6 linked regions of the Mus musculus genome follow. The protein of the gene in region 1 interacts with the protein of each later gene in a biochemical or structural test. Links are inferred from orthologs where the notes say so. Each region holds a gene or a part of one and is shown in the gene's direction. Other genes may lie near its edges.

The links.
Region 2: the proteins of Wdr5 (region 1) and Setd1a form a complex in vitro, tested with the Homo sapiens proteins (4 studies listed by BioGRID, with this or other methods). The link is inferred for Mus musculus from reciprocal best matches to the Homo sapiens genes WDR5 and SETD1A.
Region 3: the proteins of Wdr5 (region 1) and Chd8 form a complex in vitro, tested with the Homo sapiens proteins (2 studies listed by BioGRID). The link is inferred for Mus musculus from reciprocal best matches to the Homo sapiens genes WDR5 and CHD8.
Region 4: the proteins of Wdr5 (region 1) and H3f4 form a complex in vitro, tested with the Homo sapiens proteins (4 studies listed by BioGRID, with this or other methods). The link is inferred for Mus musculus from reciprocal best matches to the Homo sapiens genes WDR5 and H3-4.
Region 5: the proteins of Wdr5 (region 1) and Kmt2c form a complex in vitro, tested with the Homo sapiens proteins (4 studies listed by BioGRID, with this or other methods). The link is inferred for Mus musculus from reciprocal best matches to the Homo sapiens genes WDR5 and KMT2C.
Region 6: the proteins of Wdr5 (region 1) and Setd1b interact in a test that uses a peptide from one of them, tested with the Homo sapiens proteins (3 studies listed by BioGRID, with this or other methods). The link is inferred for Mus musculus from reciprocal best matches to the Homo sapiens genes WDR5 and SETD1B.

What each region holds. Positions count from the first base shown.
Region 1 is NC_000068.7:27,513,814-27,517,946, forward strand, and holds the start of Wdr5 (WD repeat-containing protein 5), read left to right. Parts: upstream 1-1,333; 5' UTR 1,334-1,467; intron 1,468-1,492; exon of another isoform or gene 1,493-1,939; intron 1,940-4,133.
Region 2 is NC_000073.6:127,776,015-127,780,188, forward strand, and holds the start of Setd1a (histone-lysine N-methyltransferase SETD1A), read left to right. Parts: upstream 1-1,374; 5' UTR 1,375-1,499; intron 1,500-2,098; 5' UTR 2,099-2,113; coding exon 2,114-2,263; intron 2,264-2,491; coding exon 2,492-2,587; intron 2,588-4,174. UniProt on the Homo sapiens protein: Histone methyltransferase that catalyzes methyl group transfer from S-adenosyl-L-methionine to the epsilon-amino group of 'Lys-4' of histone H3 (H3K4) via a non-processive mechanism.
Region 3 is NC_000080.6:52,216,261-52,219,760, reverse strand, and holds part of Chd8 (chromodomain-helicase-DNA-binding protein 8), read left to right. Parts: coding exon 1-164; intron 165-1,444; coding exon 1,445-1,588; intron 1,589-1,789; coding exon 1,790-2,045; intron 2,046-3,308; coding exon 3,309-3,500. UniProt on the Homo sapiens protein: ATP-dependent chromatin-remodeling factor, it slides nucleosomes along DNA; nucleosome sliding requires ATP. Acts as a transcription repressor by remodeling chromatin structure and recruiting histone H1 to target genes.
Region 4 is NC_000077.6:58,960,388-58,962,773, forward strand, and holds H3f4 (predicted gene 12260), read left to right. Parts: upstream 1-1,323; 5' UTR 1,324-1,424; coding exon 1,425-1,835; 3' UTR 1,836-1,886; downstream 1,887-2,386. UniProt on the Homo sapiens protein: Core component of nucleosome. Nucleosomes wrap and compact DNA into chromatin, limiting DNA accessibility to the cellular machineries which require DNA as a template.
Region 5 is NC_000071.6:25,306,784-25,310,283, reverse strand, and holds part of Kmt2c (histone-lysine N-methyltransferase 2C), read left to right. Parts: coding exon 1-684; intron 685-1,733; coding exon 1,734-1,845; intron 1,846-3,500. UniProt on the Homo sapiens protein: Histone methyltransferase that catalyzes methyl group transfer from S-adenosyl-L-methionine to the epsilon-amino group of 'Lys-4' of histone H3 (H3K4).
Region 6 is NC_000071.6:123,162,693-123,166,192, forward strand, and holds part of Setd1b (histone-lysine N-methyltransferase SETD1B), read left to right. Parts: intron 1-458; coding exon of another isoform or gene 459-461; coding exon 462-593; intron 594-679; coding exon 680-799; intron 800-878; coding exon 879-1,016; intron 1,017-3,140; coding exon 3,141-3,314; 3' UTR 3,315-3,500. UniProt on the Homo sapiens protein: Histone methyltransferase that catalyzes methyl group transfer from S-adenosyl-L-methionine to the epsilon-amino group of 'Lys-4' of histone H3 (H3K4) via a non-processive mechanism.

The sequences.
Region 1 (4,133 bases):
GGGATGAGGATGGAGGTGGACAGGTTTGAATGTTATCTGAGAGGTGGGTGGCAGAGGATTAGGTTTGGTTTCCAGTCCGGTTAGCTAGGCAGATACGGAGATGTTATTCTTACCATCCCATGCTCCACTCCATCCAGGGCTCCTGGCATAGGTCTGTTAGACACACAGATTCGTCTGAACTGTTTCTGTGCCTTTAGCAGGAGATTCCAGGCCAATGTCAGTCTTCTCACACTCTTGTAGCTATGGCAACCACACACTCTCCATTCTCAAGCTTCAGTTGCTTAGTCCCTCCCTCTGCACAGGTTCCCCACGCGTTATATTTGATATTCCCAGACTGGAAGATGAGGCTGCACAGGTCATAGCCACCTCCAAGAGTCTAAGACCATGTGAGTTAGACAGTGAAGTGAGAGGTGCAGACCTGGCTCCAGGTTCTCCTTCTGTCCCTGTGTCCTCCTCTCTGGGTGTTTTCCCCGTTAGTGACAGGAGTAGAGGTGGTCCAACAGGAAAGAGGGCTGTCAAAACTTTGCTAACTGCAGGCCGGCCAGCCTGCTAGGGGCTGTCTTGTGAAAATGAGATAAAGCCTTTAAAATGGAGCTCCAGAGCCACACAGGAGCCAGATTGTAGTGGATGCTGTGGCTGCCTGGAATGTGAACTGCCTGAGCCTACATTCAGGTGCAACTGCATCGTTCCAGATGCATGCATAGCTGGAGGACTTGGAGCCCCTGTGTTAGGGACACTTGCCTTTCCTGTCCACATTCTTTCTTGTTTGTCTTCTAAGTCAGGTAGCTCCTCTCTTGTCAGCGTGCAGGCTTCCTTCTCTACAGTAGTGCCCTGCCTTCCCTGGACACTACTGTAGATCTCTCCCTGCAGCGGTAGCTCCTAAGACCTTTTTCGGAGTGTGTCTGTGTGGGGTGGTGGTGGTGGTACAGCGTAGCCTCCTTATGGCCCTGTAGAAGAGAGGCAAGTATGTTCAATTTGAGCTGTGGTTTGCAGCGGCAGGAAGCCCCCCGCCTTGCGGTAGGCTGGGGAGGCCGCAGGAGCTCCGGACTTCCGGACCTCGTGGACATCCACCAGTGGCACCAAGAGGTTTCCCAACAGTCCTGGGCAGGCACGGGCCAGCACAGGCAAATTGTAACTGTTAGCTTGGCTACACAGCCTAGAATAACAGGAGAGGCACCTAAGCACGTTCTCACCCATCTTTAATTCTAGAGTGCTCCAGTCTGCAGTTACCGAACACCAGTAGCGGTCAAATAGGAAGCGAGAACCACAGACGGCCCCTTTAAGGCGCTCCGCCTCCTCTAGTTTTTCTGACCCTCGTCGCCGCCCGTTGTCCCGCCCCTCGCGCACGCGCAATCCCTCCCGCCTCCCGCGCCGCTGCCGCCTAGTCCAGCAGATCGTCTGCTCTCGCGCGTAGGGCTAGCCGACGCGACGCCAGAGCGCCCGGCCCCGCCGCCGCGGCCCCGGCAGGTAAGCGAGAAACCCGGTCCCGCGGGCGCGAGGCGAGCGGCGGCCACGAGGGCCCTCGGGCTCCGGGCTCCACAGCGCCGCACGTGTTCCGAGGGCCTCGGGCCGGGCCGGACGCCGCATTTGCGGCCGCGCCCCGACCCCGCCGCCCCTTGTGGCCGCCACGGCCCGCTACTTCCACTGCGGCCCCTGCTACGCCCCTAGACCCTTAGTCCTGCGAGCTTCTCGAGACTCACACCTCAGACTGGCGTCACTGGGAGTGGAATTCTCTGTCTCATCGGGGACACCCAGCCAGCGTCGCGCAGGTTTCCTTGGCCACTTGGCGCCTCTCGTGCTGCGGGCACAACCCTCATTTGTGTCCTAGCGCAAGTTTCTACCTGACTAGGGCTGACCGGTCAAGGGTTTCTGAACATTGTCCGGGACAGCCGGGCAGTTGAGCGCACAGTGGTGTGAAGCCAAGGCTACTAGTACCTAGGTATCTAGGAGCCCAGAGAGGATGGGTTGGAGTTCTTTGTTGGGTTACCTACTGCACTCACCTGAGTGACTGAACCATTCTGTCTTCCCATACTTGTGTACTAGGGTGGAAACCAGGAGTCTACATTTGACTGGAGGGAGACTGATGGCTGCTGCCCTTCCATAGTCAGGCTCACTCTAGTGTAAAGCCCCGGCTGCGGCTGCCGGTTACCTACCTCCTTTGTGGGCAGTGGAGGCCAGCTCCAAACCACCTGCTGAGGATCCTGCTTAACCCAGCTTCCTCCCAGACCTGCCCTCCCCAAGTCCTGCTTTCCTGAGTGCTCTGTCTTGGACTCTACCCTGTGGAATTGGAAAGTGGTGGTCTCCTTTGAGCCGGTTTCAGGTTGATGCTAGCCTCACATTTAACTGCTTTGAATTCCTGAGCCTCCTGAATGCTGTGAGGCAGATTGGCTAATGTTGATATTCTTTCTTTCTTTCTTTCTTTCTTTCTTTCTTTCTTCCCCGTTTTTGTTTTTGTTTTTTGGTTGGTTGTTTGGGGCCCACATCCTTAGAGCTCTTCATCCTTAGAGCTGGAATTAAAGTGGGTGGTGCTACAACTAGTGTCTTCAGATGTTAATATTTGTCTTCCTGAAAGACCCAGCTTATTAACGATGTGATGGGCAGGGCTGGGTGGTGGTGTGCTTGTTGGCAAGGTCATCCACCTGCTGTTAGGTGAATCTCTTTATATGCTAAAAGAAGCTTAGTTCCTAGAGACTTCCCACACTGGAGATAGATCTGCCCTACACTGTTGGCCTTTCATTTCACTGGAGTAGGGAGATGAGATGCTGGTTGAAAGAGACTTTCTAGCCCTTTTCATTACTTAAGTCTCAGCTCCTGTTGCTACCTGTATGGTCCACAAAAGTGGTTGCTATGGGAACTCATGGCCATAGTTGCATTAAGAATAAGCACCAGGTCAGGCCTGGTAGTTGATTTATGCCTGTTACACCAACCATACCAAGCTTGAGACTGGTTTTTTAATACCAGTGCATAGCAAGACCCTGTCTCCAAAAAGCTAAAAGCACCAAGCAGCTGGTATTTCCTGGGCACAAGAGCTTTGTTTGTGGAGAGGCCCCTGGGACCTACCCTAGTCTGATCCTTGCACCTGGGCTTGAGCTACAGCGGATTTGACCTTGATGGAGATGGCTGCAGGTAAAACAGCTTGGCTGCACCTGTGTGGTGCATGGTGTTCCTGTTCTTTCCTCTAGGATTGAAGACTTTGAGGCATTGTTCTCTTTTGGTGTCCTTTCATCTTAGTCTTATGTGGGGGTCCATGTGAGGTTTCAGGTTTAACCTCAAAGCCAGACTTTACATTATGATTGCTCCTTACATTGATGGCTGAGGAATGTCTCAGTAGCTCTCCGTTAGAGGAGTACTAGCTCATTTCCCAGTCAGGTGGTGTGCTTTTCTGGATGCGTGCAGGTGATGGGCCCTCCTGTAAACTGCAGTAAACTGTTGCAGTTGCATACATGTTCAGGCTGAGTCTGTCCAGCTGACTGGAATAACTACTTTCCCTCAGACCTGCAGCTTATCTGCTGTTGTTTGTGCTGCTCCCCCAGAGGTTTCTTTCACATGGGGGCAGTGACTACTCTGTTTTATTCTTGGAGCGCTTTCGGTAGTACTTTGTGCACTGAGTCCCTGTGCTCTGTAAGCTCTAGGTATTGTTAAAGGCATGTTGCAGTTTATGAGGTCACAGGGAGCCACTGAGGAGGTGAGGCCACTGTGTTTCGTCAAATTATTTGGGTGTATTTTAGAATTTGGGTAAGTTCACAGACTTGTGCACAGAAAGTCTACCTCCTGTTACTTGGCCTGTTGTTTCTGTTAGAAAGCCTTTTAAATACTGTGTCAAGGGCTCTTTGAAGCAAACTCACATCCCTGTATACACCTGTCTGCTACAGTGGGAAGCCTAGGCCATCACACAGAGTGTCTGAAGCGTCAGCCCTGGGATAGGGTGACAGTTATCCCCAGCTTGGGACAGTTGATTTGTTGGAGGGTTCAATGTGGTGGTCGTGTTTCTCCTTTTTATTCTTTTATTTATTTATTTATTTATTTATTTATTATATGTAAGTACACCGTAGCTGTCTTCAGACGCACCAGAAGAGGGTATCAGATCTCATTACGGGTGGTTGTGAGCCACCATATGGTTGCTGGGATTTGAA
Region 2 (4,174 bases), on another chromosome or scaffold:
TGTTTCTTTTAAGCTCAACAGAACCCTGATTTTAACCACTGAACATTTTTTTTTTTTTTTTTTTTTTTTTTTTTTTTGAGACAGGGTTTCTCTGTGTAGCTCTGGCTGTCCTGGAACTCACTCTGTAGACCAGGCTGGCCTCCAACTCAGAAATCCACCTGCCTCAGCCTCCCAGGTCCTGGGATTAAAGACGTGTACCACCACTGCTCGGCTCAGAAGGAACATTTTAAAACTAGCCCAAGGGAGGTGTAACTAGGGTACTGGCCTAACACGCAGAAAGCCCTGAGTTAGATCTCCCAGCATGCTATAAACCGGTTATGGTGTGCACACCTGTAATTCCGGTACTCAGGAAATAGAGGCAAAAGGATCTGGAGTTCGAGGCCATCCTCCGTTATATAGCAAGTTCGATGTCATGCTGTCTGAAAAACAACAGGAGCCCGAATATAAAAGCGGGAAGGAACCGATCATTTCACTCTGTGCGTCGGTAGGCAAAGCGCCTGAGTCACCCCTCCTGGTTGTATTTTTCCACCTCCCACCCCTCCCAGGTTTTGGTGGATTCTAAGGGAAGCAGCCCGTTACGCCGGGCTCCGCACGCCTGGCCACGCCTCTCTCGTTAGCCCCGCCCACAACCGGATCGGCAGATTCGCTACCCGACTCCTTAGGATTATTTGGGCAGCTTTTCTTGTCTGAAAATTTTCAGGAAACGCCGAGAAGACTTCTTCCTTGTAACCATTTCGCACTAAGTAGGAAGTGTGCTGTTCCTTGAGTCGTTCTACTGAAAAAAAAAAAAATCCAGGACTAGAGGTCGACTCTGCCAACAGGGCTTGGCGAGCCAGGCGTCATTTTCTTGACTCTACAGCAGGTGAGAAGAGGTGACGGCCAAAGCCCAGGACGGTGGCGAATCTGCACTGCAGCCTCATAGGCATTCGGGCTGCGCAAGGAAGGGGCAGGGAAGAGGAGCCGAGGAGCGCGCATCCTGTCCACTCATTCGCCCCGCCCGCCTCGCGAATCTGCGTCGTTGGACGCGCCACTCAAATCTCCCGAGCTCTGGCTGGCGTCCTCCCCCTCGCTCCGCCCCCTTCCCTCAGGGGCTCGTCGCAGCTTTCGTCGCCGCCGATTCGCCAGGAACCCCAAGGCCGGAGCAGCTGGATCAGGGTGGTGCGGTCCACTCTCCGGGGAATGCGGCCCATCTTCAGGCTCCCTGGGCTACAACTCCCGAGCCTCGCAGGGCGCCGGCCGAGGCAAGGCCGCTACCCTCGGCCCCGTGGATCGCTCCGCAGTCCTTGTAGCGAAAGTGCGGATGCAGACGCTGTGCCCGCTGGGCCTCGCGCAGGTGGCGGTGGTGTTTGGTGCGCGCGCCGGGGAGGTGGTGGTGGGGGGGCGCCGCCGCCGCCACCGCTGCGGGGCCGGGTCTCGCGCTGCCGCCGCCGCCGCCGCCGCCTCACGCCGCTGAGGTGCTGCGCGCGGTGGGGGGAGGGTGAGCCGCTCGCCACGAGCGGGTGAGTAGGGCCCCGGCGCGCGTGCGCGCCGACGGGGTGGGGGGGGTGGACGACACCGAACGCGCCCGGGCGGGAGGAGAGGGCAGCGGCGCGCGTTACCTCCCCCCACCCCCCCGCCTGGATTCAGGGACCGAAGCTGGGTCTCAGATTCGGTCTCGCGGTGTTTCCAACGCCCCGAAGAGGTGCCACCTCTGGTTCGGAGGATCGGGGCGCGGGGACGCGAGCGGCTGTGTGGGAGCGGGAGCGGGGCTCGGCCCGGGCCGCTTGGCCGGTGAGGAGGCGGGAGGGGGCGGGGCCTGCGAGGGGACGGGGGAGGGGTCTTGCGTGGAGGCCAAGTGGGGCGCGCTGGGGAGAGCGGGAAGGTAAGGGGGCGCGAGATGGGCCTGGGCCCTGAGGGTAGAATTGGGGATGGAGAGGAATGGAGTGCCATAGTGAGCCCAGCTCCTCAGGGCAAGATCTGAGGGAGCCACGGGTCATGCTGAGGTGTCGGGGACTGGACTGATGTGAGACCCTGGAATCGGGGCTAGACATTGAGGGGACAGCAAGGGAGTCAGGCCTAAGTCGTGGACTCCCATTCCGTATCCCTCTTTTCCTGACAGTGTAAATGAGCAAAGATGGACCAGGAAGGTGGGGGAGACGGGCAGAAAGCCCCGAGCTTCCAGTGGCGGAACTACAAGCTCATAGTGGATCCTGCTTTGGACCCTGCTTTGCGCAGGCCTTCCCAGAAGGTGTACCGCTATGACGGAGTCCACTTCAGTGTCAGTGTGAGTGCCCTCGAGCCTTTCTTGACTTATTTGGACCTCCAATCTCCCCTCCCCGCTTCCCCCTGTTCAGTATTCAACACCCAGACTTCCTATACCTGTAGTTTGGTTTTTTGAGAATGAGCAAGCTCTCCCAGCTCTTCTGTATGTTGGCTTCTACATGGGCTTTATAGAGTCAGTAGGCTGGTGAATTTTCAGCCTGGTTTCATCTCTTCCTGCTTTCTTTGTTAGGACTCAAAGTATACCCCCGTGGAAGACCTCCAGGACCCCCGCTGTCATGTCAGGTCCAAAGCCAGAGACTTTTCCCTCCCGGTTCCTAAGTTTAAGGTGAGTGCCTGCTGGTCTCCCTGCATGTTGGTCCTTGGAGAGTGTCAAGGACCCTGGGCTTCACACAGTCTACCAAAGTGTTTATTCCGAAGGAACTATGACAGCCAGATCTCATTGCTTTTTGTGTCTGTGAGACTGAGATGTTTTGGACAGAAGGTATACATGTATAGCTGAGGTGACTCTAGTATATATCTGGTGACAAGGGTATTGATGTCTGGAAGGATGAGGTATGGGTGGGTATTCTGAAGCCTTGTGACAGTGGGATAGCCAAGTTATTCAGCAATTAAGGATGCTGCTAAGACCACTGTGCACTTGGAGTTGTGTGTTCTTGCTGTCATTGTGTGTGCTCCTCTGTCCTGTCTGTACGAGCAGCTTGCTTCCCTACTGTAATAAGATATTCTTCAAACTTCGGACTGTCTCGAAAATTGGTAGTTCTTTGTCTCCTCCTAATTTTGTTTTTGTTTTCTTTTACTGATTATTGGTAAAGTAAGTTGTGCAGTGGCTTCACCCTTCTGAATCCCCCCTTTCTTGAGCAGCTTTACTGAAAGCTCTTCTGTCTGAATGTTTATGTCTCATACCTCCTTCCTGCCAGCATCTACTGAGACACTAAAACATCATCTTTCTTCCCTGAGTCCTGCTCTCCTCACTTCCTCTTGACTGATGAATGGCAATACCAGGTACTCGGGTACCCAAGCTGGAAGCCTGGAGTCACCCAGTAGTTCTTTCCTTTCGTCTTAATCTTTAGGTTTCCATTGCCATGTTCTTCATGCAGAGTCCGATGTTTGCTCGCTTTCTGCAGCTTTCCTCAGTTTTAGGCTCCATCTTGCTGTTGTCACTGGTTTTAATGTTCTTATTTTAATTTTGTTTTCCAAGTCTGTTTTTCTTTTTTATTATATTATTTTTCATGTGTGTACATTCATAAATAAGCTTGCATGCCATTGTGCACATGTAGAAGTTAGAGCACAACTTGTGGGAATTGGTTTTCATCATGGGTCCTAGTGGTCAAACTCAAGGTTGTCAGGCTTGGTGACAAGTGTCTGTACCTACTGAGCCATATTGCTGGCATCCTAAGTCTGTTTTGAGGCATTGACATGTGTGGTTATTGATCTGGGCAGGCCTTATCACCTCTTTGACACCATATCCCTGTAATATTCCACCAGACACTTTTCAGTGTTTAGAAAATATCAAGATGGATAAATTTCATGTCTTGGAAGTTTGTTGTTTTGGTAAACTTTAAGCATCTACAGAGTCCAGAAAGAATGATAGCGGCTCCCCAATACCCTGTCTCTACATCTTTGCTACCACTGTGTTATATTTATATTTATATCTGGCTTATCTTTTTTTTTTTTTGAAACAAGTACTCCCTAGGTAGCCGCTGGCCTTGAACTAAGAATCCTGTGCTTCAGCCTCCCATGTGCTAGCATTGTAAGAGTGCACGGCACACTCGGCTCTGTCTTGTCTCTTTTCTGAATGGGAACTTTTCCTTTTTTTCTGTTTCTAGTAATTAGCTTATGCTAGTCTGTAACCCTGAACTAATAGATTACTTTCTTCTATTACTTTGTCCTATGTATGTTAATTCTTGTTTTG
Region 3 (3,500 bases), on another chromosome or scaffold:
CTGGTGCATATAAGTTTGATGCCTTGATCACCACTTTTGAGATGATTTTGTCAGACTGTCCTGAGCTTCGTGAAATTGAATGGCGTTGTGTTATCATTGATGAAGCCCATAGGCTGAAGAACCGTAATTGCAAGCTACTTGATAGTCTCAAGCACATGGACCTGGTGAGTTTCCTAAGATGACTTGTAGACACTCTGAAATTGAATCTGATTTCCCTGTGAAATGAAAATTGCTCTAACTTAGCAGAGAACAATGGAACCTATATTAAGGGCCCTGGAGATCGTGTAAACGTCTTAAGTTTTCGGTTTGGAAATGAATTATGAATGGGTGCTTCTTAGTCACAAGGAGCAATGGAAATATGCCTTAGTTACCTACCCCAAAGATTCATATCTAAAACAACAACTCTGTTTTTCATGATTCTCTAATTGAACCATTTGGGCCATATTCATATAGTCTCTCCTAGGTGTTTGTTTGATTTGGTCTTTTGGGACAGGGTTTCTCTGTGTAGCCCTGGATGTCCTGGAACTCACTCTTTAGACCTGGCTGGCCTTAAACTCAGAGATCCTCCTGCCTCTGCCTCCCCAGTGCTGGGATCACCGCACCCAACCTTTCCTGGGTTATTAATGTTGCTGCACTCGGCTGTTGATACTAGTTATTCTTTGGAGCACTTATATGTATGGCACATGGCCTCAAACCTTCTAGTGGGCCAGATTAGGTGGGCTTCTCTACAAAGTGATATCAGGCCAGATCACTTCCTCAGATCACTTCCTCAGGTTCTGCCCATATCACGTGTGGCATCATCTGTAGTCTTCAGATATTGGGAAACTATTTTTCTGTATTTCCATATTGAAAAGGGTCAAGTGGCCTTGAGCTATGAGACTCAAGGTGTATTCTTTTTGTCAGAGCTAGCCAAAAGGGAAGCCTGAATTCAAGGGGGTGAACCTTACTTCAAGAAACTACAGTTTCTTTAGTCCACTATGGAAACATTTTACAGAGAGACATATTAGGATTTCTTTGCATAGTTGAATATGGAGAGACATGAATTTAGAAATAATGTAATCTGAGTCACTAGTACTTTATTTGGCTTAAGTCAGTATTTAGTTTCAATATGTTAGATAAGGGCATTTCTTAAATGGTTTTTGTTAATAAGTAAGCAAGAAAAAGAAAAGTTGAGCTGGGCGTGGTGGCAGACGCCTTTAATCCCAGCACTTGGGAGGCAGAGACAGGCGGATTTCTGAGTTCTAGGCCAGTCTGGTCTACAAAGTGAGTTCCAGGATAGCCAGGGCTATACAGAGAAACCCTGCCTCGAAACCTCCCCCACCCCCACAAAAAAAAAAAAAAAAAAAAGAAAAGCTAAGACAGAAATCTGATCTATTACCAGTAGATAAACTAAAACTAACTGTATCCTTAATGGGGTTTCTGCACATTCTCTTCTCGCTTACAGGAGCATAAAGTGTTACTCACAGGGACACCGTTACAAAATACCGTAGAGGAACTGTTCAGTCTACTGCATTTCTTGGAACCTTCTCAGTTCCCCTCAGAATCAGAATTCCTTAAGGATTTTGGGGATCTCAAGACCGAGGAGCAGGTAAGCCACCTGTCTGATAAGCTATGATTACCTTGGGCCTTCCTCAGGTTTTGCCCATATCACTTGTGACATTATCTGTAGTCTTGAGATAGTGGGAAACTATTTTTTTGTGTTTCCATATAATCTTATTTGTTTCTTTTTCTCTTTATGATACAATGTAAAGTGAGTGATTTTTTTTTTCCTCTTTATAATGAACCACAGGTTCAAAAGCTTCAGGCCATTCTAAAGCCAATGATGCTGAGGAGACTCAAAGAGGATGTTGAAAAAAATTTGGCTCCCAAACAGGAAACTATTATTGAAGTAGAGCTAACCAACATCCAGAAGAAATACTACAGAGCTATTTTAGAGAAGAATTTCTCCTTCCTTTCCAAAGGGGCAGGTCATACCAATATGCCTAATCTACTGAACACAATGATGGAGCTACGAAAGTGCTGCAATCACCCGTACCTCATCAATGGTGAGGAATTCAAAGTCTTAAAGAGAGCCGTGTGTTGACTGAACCGTAACTAGGAATTAGGCGCAGTGGTTTAGGAAAGGATTCTCTTAGTATTTTGTGTGTGTGTGTGTGTGTGTGTGTGTGTGTGTGTAGGAGTGCCACAGCACACGTGGAGTTGAGAGGACGGTATTGTAAGTCTGCTCTCCTTCTACGTTCCTGTGGGTCACAGGGATCAGACTCTGGCTGCCAGGTTTACACAGCAAGCACCTTTATCTATTGAGCTGTCTTGCCAACCACCCTCTCTTATCACTTCTGTTTCCTTGGTTTTACATAGTCCCTCAAATTGAATACGATTTTCTATGTACAATTTCATGACTAAGAACTCAAGTTATTCTTTGTCCTGGGTAAAATTTCTTGTACTTCATTTTGGATTTGGGGTAGGGGAACAGGTATGTTCCATTTTAGTTCTTGTCTGTTATTTATGTGTTCTTAAAATTCAGTTATTCAGGAAAGCCTTGCCTTAGAATGTGTTGTATAGAAAAATAGATTAGTTTGGATATTTTCTTGCTGAACTTTCTGTAAGAAATGTTGATATTATTGTTAAAAGGAGATGGACAAGAGCATTTGCTGCACAAGCATCAGGACCTGAATTTGAATTCCCAGTACCCATATGAAAAATTGGGCATGGCCACTCACATCTTAAATGCCTCTTGGGGTAGAAATAAGAGGACTTCTGGGTATGTTAGGAGCTGGACTAGCTCCAGGTTGTTTCATATGAGACCCTCTGTCAGTAGAAGGTGACAGAGGATGGTAGAGCAGAACACCTGACATCCTAGTTTGACTTCCTAGTGAACTTGGGCATGCTCCTGGGCTCAAATTCACATGGGAATGCAAGTGCTGGTATGCATGCATTTCTGTCTAGAGAAGGAGGGAGGGAGGGAGGGAGGGAGGGAGGGAGGGAGGGAGGGAGGGAGGGAGGGAGGGAGGAAGGAAGGAAAGGTAAAAGATCATACTACTTAAGTGAGTGTGGTGGCGCATGCCTTTAATCTCAGCACTCCAGAGGCAGAGGCAGGCGGATTACTGAGAGTTTTGAGGCCAGCCTGGTCTACAAAGTGAGTTCCAGGACAGCCAGGGCCACACAGAGAAACCCTGTGCTGTGGAAGAGGGGACAACTACAAAGAGATCATGATTCTTTTCTTTGACTATTTACTTCAAGCCACTGTCTTAAATAAGACTATATGTTTTACTTATTCCCAACATTAACTTTGTCTATTTTATTTGCAGGTGCAGAAGAGAAAATCCTGATGGAATTTCGGGAAGCTTGCCATATTATACCTCAAGATTTCCACCTGCAGGCTATGGTTCGGTCAGCTGGCAAGTTAGTTCTCATTGACAAGTTACTTCCAAAGCTTAAAGCTGGTGGCCATAAAGTTCTGATCTTCTCCCAGATGGTACGCTGTCTAGACATTCTGGAGG
Region 4 (2,386 bases), on another chromosome or scaffold:
CCGCACACCGCAGGCACGGGCTCGGGATTCCCCGCTTTGGCGTTCACCGGCGTCAGTTTAAACTACACATACACGTTTGGAAGCAAAACACCATGATTGTCAGTGAGTTCTATTTTTTAACCAAATCCGTAAAGATGCACCACAGTTTGATTTCTATCCTTTTCTGGACTCACGTTTTTTGAAATTATGTGGACGACATTTCTCATCCTCTGACGTGATCTAAATAATCATTATTACTATTGTTTGATACCCTGATTGTGACCTTTGGGGGAATCCTTGAATACAGCCCATGTTATCCTTGAAAGCCTTTGCTTCAGAAATCCTTTTTTTTTTTTTTTTCCTAATTTTCTTTCAGATCTAAAGATGTTTTATTTTGTTTGATAAAGCGTCATTTCAGTGTACTCTAAGCCTCAAAATTATTATCCTTCTGATTCAGCTACCGAGTACTGAAGTTATAAGCATGGACTACTGTTCTTTGAGTCATATCTTCTAGTTTTTTTTTTTTTTTAATTAACGTACGTTAACTGTGCTTAGTAATGGGTTTCATTTTGATAACTTCACACACACACACACACACACACACACACACACACACACACACACACCAGCTCTCCCCTTTTTTTCCTCTTCCCTCTGGTCCCTTTCTCTCTATAAATACCACCCCGACCCCATTTTTATGCTTTTTTTTTTTTTTTTTTTTTAATCTAGCTTCCACATGCTAGAGAACCCATGCCATGCTTTTCTTCCTGCCTGGATCCAGCTTACTTAACACTGTGATCTTGAGTTCTTTCCATTGTTCCAGCAAACGACACAATTTCTTTTCGTTTTTCTCTTTATTTTTTTCCATCTCTACCCCTCCCTATTTTTAAAAAATAGTGTTAATACTATGTAGCCCTGGCTAACCTCAAACACACAGATATCCACCATCCTTTGCCTCCCGAGTCCTGGAATTAAGCTTAACTGCTGAGCTACCTCCAGCCCTCGCCCCCAGGGGCGTCCTCAGACCAGGTGGATGTTTTTTTAGTATTCCAGAACTCAGGAAAACTATGCCTCGTTGTTATATAAAGGAAGCATGCAGAAAGGTTCTAGAAGGTTCTTTGTGTCTTGGGAGTCGAGGCAAGATTGTTTTGTTTTTTTATTTAACAACAACAATAAAAGCTCCAAGAAAGCGACTTGAGTTTTTTCCACAGACCCCGCTGCCCTCCTACCGAGCCGCAACTAACAGTTCCAGAGTCCACACCACTCAGAGAGAATATAAGAGGCAGGGTGTAAAGTCAATCCCCCAATGGACCAATCAGAGTGCAGCATCCCATAATGCCACCTGGTGGGCAGCCAATAGGAATGTAGCTGGGTCTATAAAAGCAGTGCTACTCGCCCCCCACATTGTGCACCTGAGGAGCAAGGGAGGCGGACGATTCAGGAAGATGGCACGCACCAAGCAGACGGCACGGAAGTCGACGGGAGGCAAGGCTCCGCGCAAGCAGCTAGCCACGAAGGTGGCCCGCAAGAGCGCCCCGGCCACCGGGGGCGTGAAGAAGCCGCACCGCTACCACCCTGGCACGGTGGCGCTGCGCGAGATCCGGCGCTACCAGAAGTCCACCGAGCTGCTGATTCGCAAGTTGCCATTCCAGCGCTTGGTGCGTGAGATCGCCCAGGACTTCAAGACCGACCTGCGCTTCCAGAGCTCCGCGGTGATGGCGCTGCAGGAGGCCTGCGAGTCGTACCTCGTGGGGCTGTTCGAAGACACGAACCTGTGCGCTATCCACGCCAAGCGGGTGACCATCATGCCCAAAGACATCCAGTTGGCTCGGCGCATCCGCGGAGAACGGGCTTAGGCTCCCACAGGCACCGCTCATGAACCCAACGGCTCTTTTCAGAGCCACCCACAGAGTCAGAAAAAGTGTCTGTAACGTAGACTTAGGTGTCCTGTCTCCTCAGGAGGTGAAGACAAGGTGGCCGGCAATCGAAGTGTCTCCCCAGATCAGTCTAGAGGGCTTAGCAGCTAATCCTTGCCCATTGAGCTATTTGACTTGCAGCTCCGTCCTATTCTAACCTGCCTTCCCTTGATAGGTATAGTGGCCTGAGCCCTTGTACTACAAGATGATGGTTGTGTTGCTGACTGGTTTTACCAAGTGAAGGTAGCTCCTACCGGCAGTAAACGTGCTATGTTTGCATAGTTGATAGTATCCAAACGCATCTGCTCAGTAACCAAGTTACTTATGTTTTGTGTTTTAAGGCTCATAATGCCTGGTATTAAAAAGGCTAGCTATTCCTGTACTTGAAAAGTTGGCCTTTCTCCTGATGGAAAGCCCAGTGAACTGCCTTTGATTAAAGTTAATTTTGCCCATCTGTTAACGGCGGCAGCAAAAGAGTCAGGAAAGTGTTA
Region 5 (3,500 bases), on another chromosome or scaffold:
CTCAGACCAATCACAGTGACAGAGGAAAGACTGCTCTATTGACTACTGATCAAGATATGCTTGAGAAAAGATGTAACCAGGAGAATGCTGGGCCTGTTGTCAGTGCCATTCAAGGGTCCACTCCTCTGCCTGCTCGGGATGTGATGAACTCCTGTGACATAACAGGATCGACTCCAGTTCTCTCGAGTTTACTTTCTAATGAGAAGTGTGATGATTCAGACATTAGGCCTTCAGGGTCCTCCCCACCAAGTCTGCCCATCTCACCATCCACTCATGGGTCAAGTTTGCCTCCTACTTTAATAGTACCACCTAGCCCTCTTTTGGATAATACCGTGAATTCTAATGTAACAGTGGTCCCTAGGATAAACCATGCTTTTTCTCAGGGTGTGCCAGTAAATCCAGGATTCATTCAGGGCCAATCATCAGTGAACCATAATTTAGGGACAGGGAAACCTACAAATCAAACTGTGCCTCTCACGAATCAGTCCAGCACCATGTCTGGACCGCAGCAGCTCATGATTCCTCAAACATTAGCCCAGCAGAACAGAGAGAGGCCCCTCCTTCTAGAGGAACAGCCTCTGCTTCTACAAGATCTTTTGGATCAAGAGAGGCAGGAGCAGCAACAGCAAAGACAAATGCAAGCCATGATTCGTCAGCGGTCAGAACCATTCTTCCCTAACATTGGTAGGAAATTCCTTCTGTCTCAAAATAAGTTACTGGGGGCATCTGAGTACATGCAGCATGCTTGTAAATTTTCATTATTGAGATTACATTTGGATCAGTGTAATCTGAGAATTTTCTGTCTTCTCGGGTCTTTACAATGAAAAGATGAATTTTAGATTCCTTCCAGGTCAGTCAAAATTAAGATAACCTTGAATTGTTACCTCACTCAGTTCTGCTTTATATGGTGTTGATGGTGGTTTTAGTTTTATCTGCCAATTGTTATGAGAAATAAATGTAAGGAAATTATGATAGAAATAAAGTTTCTTGTTCTTTTGTGCACAAGTGTTTGGTAAAGGTTTTTTGCATTTTAGGGTTTTTTTTTTAATCCCCCACAGACACATCTTTCAACTTATTTTTGTTGTTTTATTAGTTTTAATAAAAACACAAGTCCATGTAACCCAAACACTTCAGTGCTTTGCCTAGAAGAATTAAGTCAGCAGGCATATATCTGAGGAGTATTTTTTTCTAACTAATAACAAAAAGCATTGTATCAACATGTGGTACAAATTCCATTATTTGACTCTTTTTTCCCACTTATATGTATGCAAAGAGATGCTCTCACTATCCTCATACTTTTATTTTGTAGGTATATCCTGGAGATATTGGTAGTTTTTTATTTCTTTTAAAAACTGATAACTAATTTAGAGGGATTCTTTAGTATTGGAAATAACTGTAAATTCTCATTCCTTTCAGTCCATTACTAAAAAAGATCATTCTAATTGGCACTGTGAAGGTTTGAGCCACTGGGACTCTCGTTGCTGAACATCACTGTTGTGATCCCCTGTAGACTGACAGACTTGTTTTAAAGTATGCTTCAGTTATAGACACCTAAAATGCAGCTACCATTTCTAGATTCCCTTATGTGGTGTAGAAACATATAATGATTCTTGAATAAGGTATAAGAATTTATAAATTATGTAATTGTGATACTTAATTTTACCACTTCATATATCTTGAGCCATGAACTTAAATTATGAAGTAAGTAATGTCAAAATACATTTCTTCTTTAGATTTTGATGCTATTACAGATCCTATAATGAAAGCGAAAATGGTAGCCCTTAAAGGCATAAATAAAGTGATGGCACAGAACAGTCTGGGCATGCCACCAATGGTGATGAGCAGGTAGGTAGAAGTGCTTTTTTTTTCTTCCTGGCATGTAGATGTACATAAAAACACCCCTACTTCTTAGAGCTCCTCAAAAGCCTACCTTCTGGTTGTAAAGAGTATTTCAATTCAGCTGAATGCAGGGAATTAATTTCCTTTCATTTTAGGGAAAATAAACAGAATAATATACCACTCAAACATTAGGAAGACTGACTTGGTCAGTGAGGAAATCCAAACTGTTTGTGTGTGTTTACTTTTTTATTTAAAGAAGTGTTAGCCTAAGATTTTCATTCAAGAATTTCAGTGGTTAAGGAAATTATCAATTTAGCTCTGAAATGAAATTGTCCCAACATGACTTTGAATTAGAAAAGGCAAAACAGTAATTTATGGAACATTTGGATACTGAGACTGGGATAGTTGGATAATTTTAACATCTAACAGAAAAATGGAAATTGTGTGTTCAAGAGAGATATTAGAGATGAGTAATCGTTAAGTTACAGTGGCTGTGTACCCCAGTGAAGTGCTGAATCTTGATCACTTTCTAACTTAAGGATTATTTGTGTGCCCCCATCACTACACTTTTAAATGCAGTTTCTATACCTTTCTACAGACCTAGTGAATGGGATTTTCTAGGAATGGTGTCTGAATGCTTGTATTTTTGACAAGTACCTTGAATGATCTTTGTGTTGTATTGCTGTTTCTGATTTCTGATCTCAATTTATTGTGATGATCTTGTTGAAAAATTATAATAGGGAGTGCAAATGATTGTAGAATTTAATATAGAATTGTATAAGTTGAAGATATAGACATAGGCTTTAGGGAACTGTGTAATACACTGAGTATGATTAAGACACATTTTTGATGTCAAAGTAAAGATAGTGATTTGTAAAGATTTTTACTACCTAGCTGGATTTATTAGCACTGTTCTTCCCTCAAGGTAACTTTATGGCATAAGCCTTTTTAACCTTAAAACCATGAAACCTTTGAAATTCTTTTCAGATATACAGGTAATAAAAATACAAATTCAAAAAGAAATAGACCACATTTGTAACATAGTTAATAATCTCTGATTATATTCTTGATATGTGTGTATCATAATGCATTAACAAACTTAGCTCTAAGTTTTATATTTTATAACAAGGTAAAGATTGGTAATTACCTACTATGAATGTGCAACACTTGTAGGAAAATCATGTTTCCTACTGGTGAGAGTATAGTATTAATAAATAATACTGTGATAAATAATAAATAATACTGTATTTTAACTTGATACTCAGAGTCAAGGAAATGCTAGATTTTGTTTGATCCTTAATTGTTTTCATGGGCCTCAGAATCAGAACTCTCAGCATCTCATATATGTTCAACATAAGTGTCTGTGCTCATTAGACATGCAATGCTTTATCAGCCACATGCTAAGTGTACTGGAGACCATTCTGAGTTCTTTGCAGAACTAAGGTAGTGCCTTCTGAGATTAGTGTAGTGTGTTACATGATGATGGCAGAGAGCAAGCATTAATCGGATTGGGATTATTTTGTACCAGAGCTGTAGTAGGGAGAAGGGAGATTAATGAATCAAACTTCTGAGGGAAAAAAAAATCACAAGTATACACTCTAAAGTCTAATAACATTTAAATGCTTCTTTATAATATTTTTGGATCTATTTTGAAATTGTGT
Region 6 (3,500 bases), on another chromosome or scaffold:
CTGATAGGAGGTGGGTGGTGGCAGTGCACTTTTTTTTTTAAGATTTATTTATTTATTTTGTTTATATAAGTACAGTGTAGCTGTCCTGAGACACACCAGAAGGGGGCATCAGATCCCATTACAAATGATTGTGAGCCACCATCTGGTTGCTGGAAATTTAATTTAGGAAGAGCAGTCAGTGCTCTTAACCACTGAGCCATCTCTCCAACCCAGAGACGGCATAGTTCTTTAACACTCAGGAGGCAGAGGCAGGCCTGGTCTACAGAAAGAGTTCCAGGACAGCCAGGGCTACAGAGAAACCTTAAACCTTGCCTCCAAGAAACCAAAACAAACAAAGGAGACTGATAGGAAGACAGATGCTCTAAGCCTCCTGAAGCCAGGAGGCGGGGGCAGATCCAGAGAGGGTGTGACAGGGCCTTGTCTGTCCCTTTTTGACTTGTCATCCCCCGTTGTGCCAGCAGGGTATGAGTATCCCAGCCCAGCCCCATGCCTCTACTCGGGCAGGCTCAGAGCGGCGGTCTGAGCAGAGGCGCCTCTTGTCCTCCTTCACCGGCAGCTGTGACAGCGACCTGCTCAAGTTCAACCAGCTCAAGGTGAGGCTAGACCTCCTCCGGGGCAGCCAGGTCAGTGTGGGACCTGAGTCCTCACAAATCCTGTCCCTCCCTCCCGTGTCCCCTAGTTTCGAAAGAAGAAGCTCAAATTCTGTAAGAGCCACATTCACGACTGGGGCCTGTTTGCCATGGAGCCAATTGCTGCTGACGAGATGGTCATCGAGTACGTGGGCCAGAACATCCGCCAGGTAGGTGCTGCCCAGGGCGCTGGTGAGGGGTGGCAGGGGCACGGAGCAGGCCCAGACTTAAGGCTCTTTCTACCACCAGGTGATTGCGGACATGAGGGAGAAACGGTATGAGGATGAAGGCATCGGTAGCAGCTACATGTTCAGAGTAGACCATGACACCATCATCGACGCCACCAAGTGCGGCAACTTTGCACGCTTCATTAACCACAGCTGCAATGTAAGTGCCCAGTGAGGGACCGGGGTGTCCCCACCTCTGTACTGAGGACCCCAGGAACTCAGGCACTGCAATCGTGTTCAGTCTCCTTTCCAGGCTTCATTTGACCCACAGGTGACAGGGAGGGAGAGAGGAGATGAGAAGCCTGAATAAGGGGCTTTTCTCTTGAGCTCAGTTGTTATGTCTGTACAATGGGCGCAGTAGGAATTCTGGAGTCATATGAAAGACGGAAGGTGTCCAAGAGGTGGGCTGAGGCCAGGTGTGATGGTGCGCACCTTTAAACCCAGCATTTAGGTGATGGAGGCAGGTGAATTTCTGCGAGCTAGCCTGGTCAACATAGTGAGCTCTGAACTAGCCAAGATAACACAAGATGGTAATTGGTCTCATTGCTCGGTAAATTGGTTTTGCAAGTCTCTTGCAAGCACAGAGACTTGAGTTCAGCCCCCAGAACCCACATAAAAGGGGTGTGGTGGGGTACCCGTGCTGGGGAGGTGGGAACAGAATTCTCCGAGCGAATCTAGGGAGCTGCAGGCTAGGGAGACAGTGTTGTAGCACTGATGCCAACCAGGTGAGTGATAGTGACAGAAGTAGGGACATGATGGGGAGGAGCCAGAGCCAGCTAGAAGGGAGACTTGGGGAGAGGGAGGACTTGGGGAGGATTTTGGCTTCAGGCTCCTAGTGAAGTGAGCTTGCTGATCTCTGTAGTAACTATTTACCTTGCTCTCCACAAGTGATAGACCAATGAAAAACAGCAAGACTGTGCCAATAAAACTTTATTTACTAAAGCAGGCAAGTAGGGCCTACCATTTATAGACCCCTTATCGAGGGCTCAGAAATGACACTTGAGTAGAAGTAAAGATTCAGGCCTCTCTTGCAGTATGTCTGATGAGGAAGAATTGTGGTCCTTCTTAAAGACTTAGTTGTTTTTTAAACGTGTGTGGATGTTTTACTAGTATGTATGTATGTATGTATGTACATACACTGCATGTGTTCCTGGTACCCAGAGGAGCCTGAAGAGGGCACCTGACTGAGGAGTTAGGGGATAGTAGTGAGCCACCCCATGGAGGATGGGAACCAAACTTAGGTCCTCTGCAAGAATTGCAAGTCTTCTTAACTTCTGAGCCATCTCTCTCTCTCTCTGGCCTCCGCATCTTTTTTATTTGGTACTGGTCATGGGAGGAGCTAGCCGGAGAGCCATTCGTGGAGCTGATACCCACGAGTTGGCTTCTATAACTCCATGGCGAGGATTGGGTTGGGGCTCCCGACCCCGTCTTTTTTTTTTTTTTTAGCTTTTAAAAGGAAGATTTATTTGACAAGGTTCACTTAGCGCAATACACCTAAAAAGAAATCACAATACAATGAAAGACTTAAATCAAGGCCTCAGAATTTCATACAAACACTAAGACCAAAAATCCTAAAAAATAATGGTATTGTCTCTTAAAACTTCTCCATTAACTTAAAAATAAAAAAAAGAGCTTTAAACTCACGTGCCTTACAGGTTATCAAATGAATTTAGAATTAACAAACATAGCCGGGCGTGGTGGCGCACGCCTTTAATCCCAGCACTCGGGAGGCAGAGGCAGGCGGATTTCTGAGTTCGAGGCCAGCCTGGTCTACAAAGTGAGCTCCAGGACAGCCAGGGCTACACAGAGAAACCCTGTCTCGAAAAACCAAAAAAAAAAAAAAAAAAAAAAAAAAAAGAATTAACAAACATGCCAAATGTATCACTTTAATTGTAGACGCAGCTCCTATAGTTTTACAAAAAAGCATGTTTTTTCAACATGCATCAACAGTGTTCAATGTATGTATAAGAGCAACATTTAACATAATTCAACTGCTTTAACCTAAATACACTTACTGCTTACGTACATCCTACAGTAACTAGAGAAAAGCTAGGAATTAAGTTTAACAGTTCCAGTTCACTCGGCTTTGCTCTATCATCCTAGATGACTGCTATGTTCAACATTGAACCTTCTTTGAGCGATGCCAATGTTCACTTAAGAGCAGGCATAAAACCACAAGGCTGGATGGATTGCAAAATCTGTTAAACTGAGGGGTTTTAAAAAAAATTTCTTTTTGACCAAGATCCCGACCCCGTCTTAACCGCATCACCACCCTGTCTTGCAGCCCAACTGCTACGCCAAGGTGATCACGGTGGAGTCCCAGAAGAAGATCGTCATCTACTCTAAGCAGCACATCAACGTCAACGAGGAGATCACGTACGACTACAAGTTCCCGATCGAAGATGTCAAGATCCCCTGCCTCTGTGGCTCCGAGAACTGCCGGGGGACCCTCAATTAGTCCCCGCGTGCCAAAGGCCGAGGATGTCAGCCGTAGCCCAGGAGAACCCTCGCTCGCCCTGGGCCAGGCTCCACACACACCCCCACCCACTTCAGGTGCTGTCCTTATCCCCAGCAGCCGCACTAGGGCCTGGCGCCCCCAACACTATCCCAGGACCCACCCGCAGCCCCAGCCCCGCAGCGGGAA